Linked DNA regions of Rattus norvegicus. The protein of the gene in region 2 interacts with the protein of the main gene of each other region in a biochemical or structural test. Links are inferred from orthologs where the notes say so. Each region holds a gene or a part of one and is shown on either strand. Other genes may lie near its edges.

Region 1 (3,811 bases), on a different chromosome or scaffold from region 2:
AGAAGAACAAATCGCCAAACTCCCCAACCCCATGCACCCTCTACAGCTCTCTGCTGCCCCCTGCTGACACGTTATTAATACTGTCATCAGGAGGTCATTCTCTTACCAGAAAAGTTAGCCCTAATTTTCAGCAACTGTCAATCGTATCTGTAAATGGCTCTTCTACAAGTCCAAGCTTCTGTGCCCTTTTCTGTGCTCCTCCTTGCCCCCACATTGCCCTCTCTCTGCCCACATCTCCCCGTCCAAGCCAGGCCTACTTCAAATGCCATGAAAATTGTGTAGCCTGTCTATCTGCCCGTCTAGAGAAGCCATAATCTCCAGGGCACATGGCATCGTTCACTGTCCATTCTCCTCTGCGCTGTAATTGATTCTGAACTTGTCTTGCTGCTGCGTACTTACGTTGTCACAACTATGACTTATTTGCCTGCTTCCCCAGCGGTACCCGACCATGATAACCCATTCATAATGGCTGTTCTCGCATGCTTCCCAGTCCACGACGACTCACTACCGTGCTCCTCCCCACACCCTCGGTGCCTCACCTCCCAGTTATCACCCATTTTCCTGCACCCTCCTCACTGGATTGCCAGACCCAGCTCCAGTCTGTTCATGTAGCAAAAGAAATACTTCCGGTAAACAAACAAAGACAAAAAGAATCTACACATCCCCTGGCTTCTCCTTTCCCCTTCTCCTGTGACATCGTTCCTGTGACATCATTCCTGTGACATCATTCCTGTGACATCATTCCTGTGACATCATTCCTGTGACATCATTCCTGTGACATCGTTCCTATGACATCGCTGCAGTAGCTCAAGTCCTAAGGGTGCTTTCATATTCTCAGTTCTTTAGCCACATTGATCTTTCAGTTCACAACGCGACACATCCTCTCGGGGCATAAGACTCTTCTAAATTGCTTTCTCCCATCCTCTCCCATCTTGCCCTCTCCCCAGTCACTGCTCAGACGGTACCTCAGACATCACTACCTCAAAAGGCTCTCTAGATTATCTACACAAGCTCTCCAAACTATCTGTGTGTCTTTAAAACCAACCCGTTGTGCTTTTAAACCCCTACTTTAGTTCATTCATTAACACTTGCCACCCTTTAGAGACTATATGCTCTGTGTTCCCAGTCATCAGTGTAACGCCACCACACAGTAGATTACACACACACACACACACACACACACACACACACGTATATAAAGCCACATTAAACAGAATCCTGTCAAAGTGTTTAAACATATATTAAACCTAAATCCTTATGTTGATTCCATTTTTATAACTCACAGTTAAGGCATTCAGTTATAGATGACAGAAAGACAAACAGGAGCCCCTGAAGCAAGTTCCTCAGGAACCCAGAGTGCTCCTTCCAGCCCTTACCCTCAGTGCTCATGTCTGGAGTAGGCATCCAGATATAGGCCAAGCCTTCTTCCTTATACAGCTTCATCATGGTGTCTGGAGTCATGGGTTCCGGGTAGCGGTTGCAGCCTGAAGAATTCTGGATGATATCCCATTCAGTCTGGAAATTCATGACAGCCGTAATTCCCAGTTCATGCTTCAGTTTGATGGTCACATGCTCCAGTTGTCGAGGGCAGCTACCCAACCAGATATTTGGTAGAATTCTAGAAAGATCATACAGGGTCAACCATTACTAAGGTTCTAACTTGAGTTTTCAGTATCTGCATGTAACATATACTATTTAAGTACAATTACTCTTTCAATCTGATAAGGAAAGGCTGGATTTTTAAGGATATAAGAAATAATACTAATTTTTTTAAAACTACTTTTATTACTGTTTTAGGAAAACTTATTATAAGATCAACAAGCACACCAGGAACTTGACATTAAAAACTAAGTCCAGCAACATATGAAAATAAACTCACCAAGTTGGATATACTCTATGACTGTTACACAAATGCTATCAATTCATTTTAAACACATTAAACGTAAAACCACCTAAAGCCATCTCAAATCCAAAATTCAAAAAAACATATTTCAATACAGCCATCACCACTCCTTATTACTACATAAAATTCTTCCAACAGTGTGAGACCTGTGAAGGACACTAAACTTAAGAAACAGAAAACTTGGGTTAAATAAATTCAAAACCAAGATTAAGTCCATTATCCTCCAAATATTTTCTATATGTTCATAAAAGGTGTCATAAAGGGCTCTCCCTTTAAGTTCATTGGTTTTCTTTAAAACTATCAGTAAAAGATAGATAGATAGATGGATAGATAGATAGATAGATAGATAGATAGATAGATAGATAGATGGATGGATGGATGGATGGATGGATGGATGGACGGACGGACGGACAGACAGAGAGATAGGAAGGAAAGAGACAAAAGAGAGCGAATATTACCATCGAGTTTCAGATATCCAACTATTTCCCAGGTGACCTTGTTTATTCAAATTCTAAATCTTGAGAAACATTTCCCTAGAGACTCAACTACATGAGTTATGCCATGTATTTAAATCATTCAGCTTAAGATATGTAGTTGAGAGAAACACAAATGGAGTTCTCTTTGTACTTGCAACATACAAAAAGAAGCATAATGGAAAGAAAATAATTCTTGTGTAAAAATAATGCTTCTGGTTTCCGCCTGCACCAATGACTGACACAGACCCACAGCTCTCTGTACCCAGATCCCCGGGAAGAGCGCTGAGCTCTCAGAAGTGCAGACAATCCTGAGAGCTCAGGGGAGACCACCACTTCTGCTCACATTCCTGAACCAAAACGAACCCGCCTGGAGCCTTCTGGACACAGGAACCGAGGAGCAGTCACAGAAAGGATCCTTCCAGTCTCCGCCTGCACCCAGAGCTGAAAGCTAGTCACTAGGAGTGCTGACACACCTGAGAGAGCAGAGGTAAGACCACCACTTCTACTCCTAGGGACCTGCCTGGAGTCCTCAGGACACAGGAACCAGGAGCAAGGGTCCTTCAGGTTTCCACCTGTGACAGCAGCCAACCTGGTCCCACAGCTTTCTGTACCCAGATCCCCTGGAGAGAGAACAGGACACTCAGAAGTGCTAACAATCCTGAGAGCACAGGGGAGACCACCACTTCTGATCACATTCCTGGCCCAAGAGGAACCCTCGTGGAGTGCTCTGGACACAGGAACCAAGGAGCAGACTGGCACTCGATCCTTCCAGTTTCCACCTGCATACTGAGCTAACCCTGTCCCACAGCTCTTGGTCCCCAGATCCCTCTGGGAGAAAGCTGGTCTCCAGGAGTGCTGACACACAGGATTACAGGAGGGTCAAGCCACTGTAACAGACAGCAAGACAAGCTAACACCAGAGACAACCAGATGGTGAGAGGCAAGCAGAGGAAACTAAGCAACAGAAACCAAGACTACTTGGCATCATCAGAGCCCAGTTCTACCACCAAAGCAAATACTGGATATTCAAACACACCACCAAAGCAAGATTTGTATTTAAATCACATCTCATGATGATGATACAGGACTTTAAGAAGAACATAAATTCTTGAGGAAATACAGGACAACACAGGTAAACAAGGAGAATCCCTTAAAAAGGAAACACAAAAATTCCTTAAAGAATTACAAGAAAATGCAAACAAACGTGTGAAGGAATCGAACACAACCATCCAGGATTTAAAAATGGAAATAGAAACAATAAAGAAAGCACAAAGGGAGACAACCCTGGAGATAGAAAACCTAGGGAAGAGACAAGGAATTGTAGATACAAGCATCACCAACATAACACAAGAGATAGAAGAGAGACTCTTAGGGGGCAGAAGATACCATAGAAAACATCAACACAAAAATCAAAGATAATGTAAAACACAAAA
Region 2 (4,275 bases):
GTATGAGTACACTGTCATTGTCTTCAGAAGAGGGCCTCAGATCCCATTACAGATGGTTGTGAGCCACCAAGTGGGTGTTGGAATTTGAACTCAGTACCTCTGGAAGAGCGATCAGTACTCTTAACCGCTGAGCCATCTCTCCAGGCCACAGCATCAGTTCTTATCTAAAGCAAACTCTCACCTTTCAAAAGCATGCCCCAGAAAGCATTCTGAAGTTGCTTCAGGGGTATAAGTTATTGGATATGATTCCAACAGCCCTGAACTCAAAGACTTCTTCACTTGCTTAAAAAAATAAAAATGTAGCCAGGATCAGCACTTCACCAAAAATATCCTATTCCTCCCTTAATTACAGCACCGAGGAGCCCTTCTGTTGGTCAAGGCTGTGCTCCAGTTCAAGGTACGTTTCCAGCACTCTAAAAGGACGAGGACTGTTTATTGAGTATACAGTGTTTGAGTCACATTTCAAACTACACAGAGAAAACCCCCATCACAGAGTGCTTCAGGTGGCAGAGATTCACCACACAGCACATAAAATCACTCCTGCCATCAATGTGCTGGGGTGACGTCTGATTAACGCTGGTCTCATCTGCCTGTGACACTAGCAGGCAGCAGGTCTGCAGATTTTTCTCTAACTATCACTGAGGGATAGTTCCCAGTGCCCATGGAGGAAGGAGAGGTGGGGCAGGGAGAGAGAGAGGGAGAGGGCAAGGGGGAGAGAGAGAGGAAGAGAGAGGAGGAAGGGAAGGGGAGAGGGAAAGAAGGAGGGAGGATGGTGAAAGGGAGGAGGGAGGGAGGAGGGAGATGGGGGAATGTGAGGAGGGGAAGGGGGAAGGAGAGGGAGATAACACACTTCAGTAGCCCAGCCTAGCCTCAAACTTACTAGGTAAGATTGCACTGAACTTCCTGCCTCCACTTTCCAAGTGTTGGAAGACTTAGTAGCACACACTATCATCCTGGCAGCCTTTACCTTATAGGGAAAAAGCTCAACTTTGTTCCTTGTTCAAATCTTGGAATTGGTAATAAACCATCTACTCTGCCTTTGGAGGAGGTCACAGATAAAGGTGACAGACACCTTCACTTTTCTCCTAAAGAAAAACTCCATGGAGACCCCTTTCTTTTGTGTCTTTGTGCATTTAACCAGTTATCGACTTGTAGGGAGAACACACCCAAGACACAGCTCACAGGGTTTTTTTCTTTGACCTCTGGCATCATATTGAAGAGCAAGTGGTTTGGAGCCAGAATTGAATTCAACTGTCCCAGTTAGTACAACTCTAAAGAAACCATATTGAATGCTCTGCGTCTATTTTCTCATCTCTGAAATGAACTGATGATAGGAATGACATCACCGTGTGTTAGGGAGCAAATGGGCTAAGATTTGCAAACTTCTTAACACGGGAATAGGCATTCACTGAATGACAAGTTTAATTATTAGTCCTTACTAACTGCCTTAATAACCACTTTCGCCAGGCAGTTACCATCATCCCCATCTGGATGGATGAGTGACACTCCCAACGACACCAAGATTTGACTGCACGCTTCGGGATCCCCATCACCCTCCATTACCCTCCATCACTTTAAAGACTTTTATAGAATGGGATGCAGAATCCAGCACAAGAAGAGAATTCTCCTTGGTGAAGACCAGTGCCACAGGACGGGAAAGGCCATGAGTAACCATAGGCTTCAGGGCTGGAAATTCCTCAGGTTTCCCCAAGCATACGATGGCTGGCCCAGAGGTATCAGCAACAATCACGTTTCCTTGGTGATCGAAGGTCACAGCTGAGGCGGTTATTTTGGAGGGGAAGAGGAGGTTCAGTCCGAAGCTGTCCACCTGGCCAATCAGCTGCATACTGGAGTTGAACACCTTCACCCTTGTGTTGTTACCGCTTGACGTCCCCAAGGCACAAGGATGCTCTAGGACCGCGATGGCCCCGGTGAGCCATGACACTGCCACCCCACGGGGATTACACAGGTGAGCTTGCAACCTCTCAATTCTCCGAAGGACCCCTTCAGGGAAATCCGCTTCCAGCAGGTGCAAAGTCCCTGCCTCTGCGTCAGTCACCAGGACCCCGTTGTGAGGGGTTATCTCTACACCCCAAGGCAGGGAAAACTGCTTTCCCACAACCAGCTTGATCTGGCCAAAGAAATCAAACACTTTGAGGGAGCAGTCGCCGGCGTCGGTGACAACCACATGGCAGTCGTTGGTGACCGCGACATCCAGTGGGTACTTCACGTCATGCGCTGCGTCCCCCTTCTCTCCAAACTGGTGTGCACCTCCTCCTCCGGAATCGAAGATCTTGACCCGTCTCTTACCGTCGTGCACGACTACTACCCGTCCGGTCTTGGGGCACAGTGCAAGCCCCGTGGGGTTCACTAGGGTCCCCCACCCGCCAAAGGCATGGTAGCAGGTGAGAGCCCCGGGCGCACAGGAGGCGGCGCTGAGGGCAGCCGGGGACGCGTGGAGGGTGGAGCCCAGGAGCTCCAGAAGGTGCAGCACCGGCAGGCAATCGCTGGTGTCACAAGCTCGGCAGGCCCGCCGGCAGAAGGGACACTCGAGGGCCAGCGTCCGCGGGTGCGCGAGGGCGGCGACGCAGGCCAAGCAGACCACGTGGCCGCAGGGCAGGTTGCGCGGGCGCCGCTGCTGCCGGTGGCCGAACCTCTCGAAGCACACCTTGCACTCCAGCAGGCTGACCTCCGCCTCGCGCACCAGCTCGGGCCGCACCCCCGCTGCCTCCTCCCCCATCGCTCCCGCCGCGCCGCAGCCCCGGCGCAGCCCTCGGTCACGGCCACGGTCACGGGGCGGGGCATGCGCTCTAACGCGAGGCGCGCACTCCCGCCCCCTGGCGGACGCACGACGCAATGGTCCGCATGCGCCCTGCGCGGACCTGGCGGGGGCGGGGAATCGCGTCACGGGTGGGAGATCCCAATATTAGAGCTTGAGACACGTCTCGCGGGGGGGGGGGAACGATTGTTCTCTCCGTGTTCGCGTGTAAGTGGCAGTTAGTCGTCCAGGGCTGGTGTCCGGCAGGACTACCAGTCAGCTTCACTGGGAGCTGGGTACCAGGGCTGGGCAGAAGCAAGATGTGGCTCCTAGTCTTGGTATAGTATGACTCTGAGGACAGAAATGCAGAAAGATAAGAAAGAAGATGCAAGAAAGAGGGTGAGGCAGCTGTGCATACCTCTCTGGTGTGTTTTATCACACTTGTGAGAAGGTAGCTACGCATCCCTCAAAGAACTGGGTGTGGTGGTTGTGATGCCAGAACTCAGGAGGCAGAAACAGGAGAATAGCGGTTAGTGGTTAGTTGGAGACCAGCCTAGGCTGCGGTGCCTAAAAAAACAAACCCCAGGGGTTGGGGATTTAGCTCAGTGGTAGAGTGCTTGCCTAGCAAGCGCAAGGCCCTGGGTTGGGTCCCCAGCTCAAAAAAAAAAAAAACCACAAACAAACAAAAAAACAAAAACAAACAAACAAACAAACAAACCCCAAAACCAAAACAAACAAAAGAATACTTGTGAAGTGGGTTTGTGCGGAAGGGATATTTTAAAAGCTGTTAGTTCCCTTGCATGGTGGTCTACATAGTGAGTTCCAGGCCAGTTAGAGGTACAAAGGGAGACCCTGTCATAAAAACAAAACAACAATAACAACGACCAAAGGTGTTAGTTAATAGCAGTTACTATAGAATTCACTCCATGCCTGCCTTCTTTTAAGTGGTTTTCATTCGCTGTTTTATTTAAGCCTCGTGGAGGCTGACTGGAAGGCAGGCAGTTTGACTACAGGGCCTTTCACTATCTCTCACTGATCATCACATAGGGTTGTGTATGACAGACGCTTGAGCCTCGTTGACAAAGGCTTAACTGCTCCAGTGTGATGGGTGCAGGGAGTTGTGAGGGGATTATAGCATACAGGTAAGTTTGAGGTTCTTCCTTGTAGTGTCTTCCAGTCCCGGAAAGATTGAAAGTAAGGGGGTGAAGAGATGGCTCAGGGATAAAGAGCGCTTGCTGCCCTTCTGGAGGACATGAGTTCAATTCCCTGCACTCACACTGGGGGGTTCACAACCACCTGTTAACTCCAGCTCCTGGGAATCCAGTGTCCCCTTCTGGTCTCCATGCATTGGTATACCTGTGGCATAAATTCACAAGAACATATACACCCGCATATAAATAAGTATAGGAACAATTTCAAACTTAGAAATGATTGACAAGAAAGATGATCTATCCTTCTTAACAGGGGGAAAAATATCCACAGGACGGGATATGGAAGCAAAGTGTAGAGCAGCGACG

Evidence for each region.
Region 1: the proteins of Nhlrc1 (region 2) and Epm2a form a complex in vitro, tested with the Homo sapiens proteins (3 studies listed by BioGRID, with this or other methods). The link is inferred for Rattus norvegicus from reciprocal best matches to the Homo sapiens genes NHLRC1 and EPM2A.

The regions. Positions count from the first base shown.
Region 1 is NC_086019.1:7,651,820-7,655,630, reverse strand, and holds part of Epm2a (laforin), read right to left. Parts: intron 1,619-3,811; coding exon 1,377-1,618; intron 1-1,376. UniProt on the Homo sapiens protein: Plays an important role in preventing glycogen hyperphosphorylation and the formation of insoluble aggregates, via its activity as glycogen phosphatase, and by promoting the ubiquitination of proteins involved in glycogen metabolism via its interaction with the E3 ubiquitin ligase NHLRC1/malin.
Region 2 is NC_086035.1:17,879,107-17,883,381, reverse strand, and holds the start of Nhlrc1 (E3 ubiquitin-protein ligase NHLRC1), read right to left. Parts: upstream 2,813-4,275; 5' UTR 2,741-2,812; coding exon 1,550-2,740; 3' UTR 1-1,549. UniProt on the Homo sapiens protein: E3 ubiquitin-protein ligase. Together with the phosphatase EPM2A/laforin, appears to be involved in the clearance of toxic polyglucosan and protein aggregates via multiple pathways.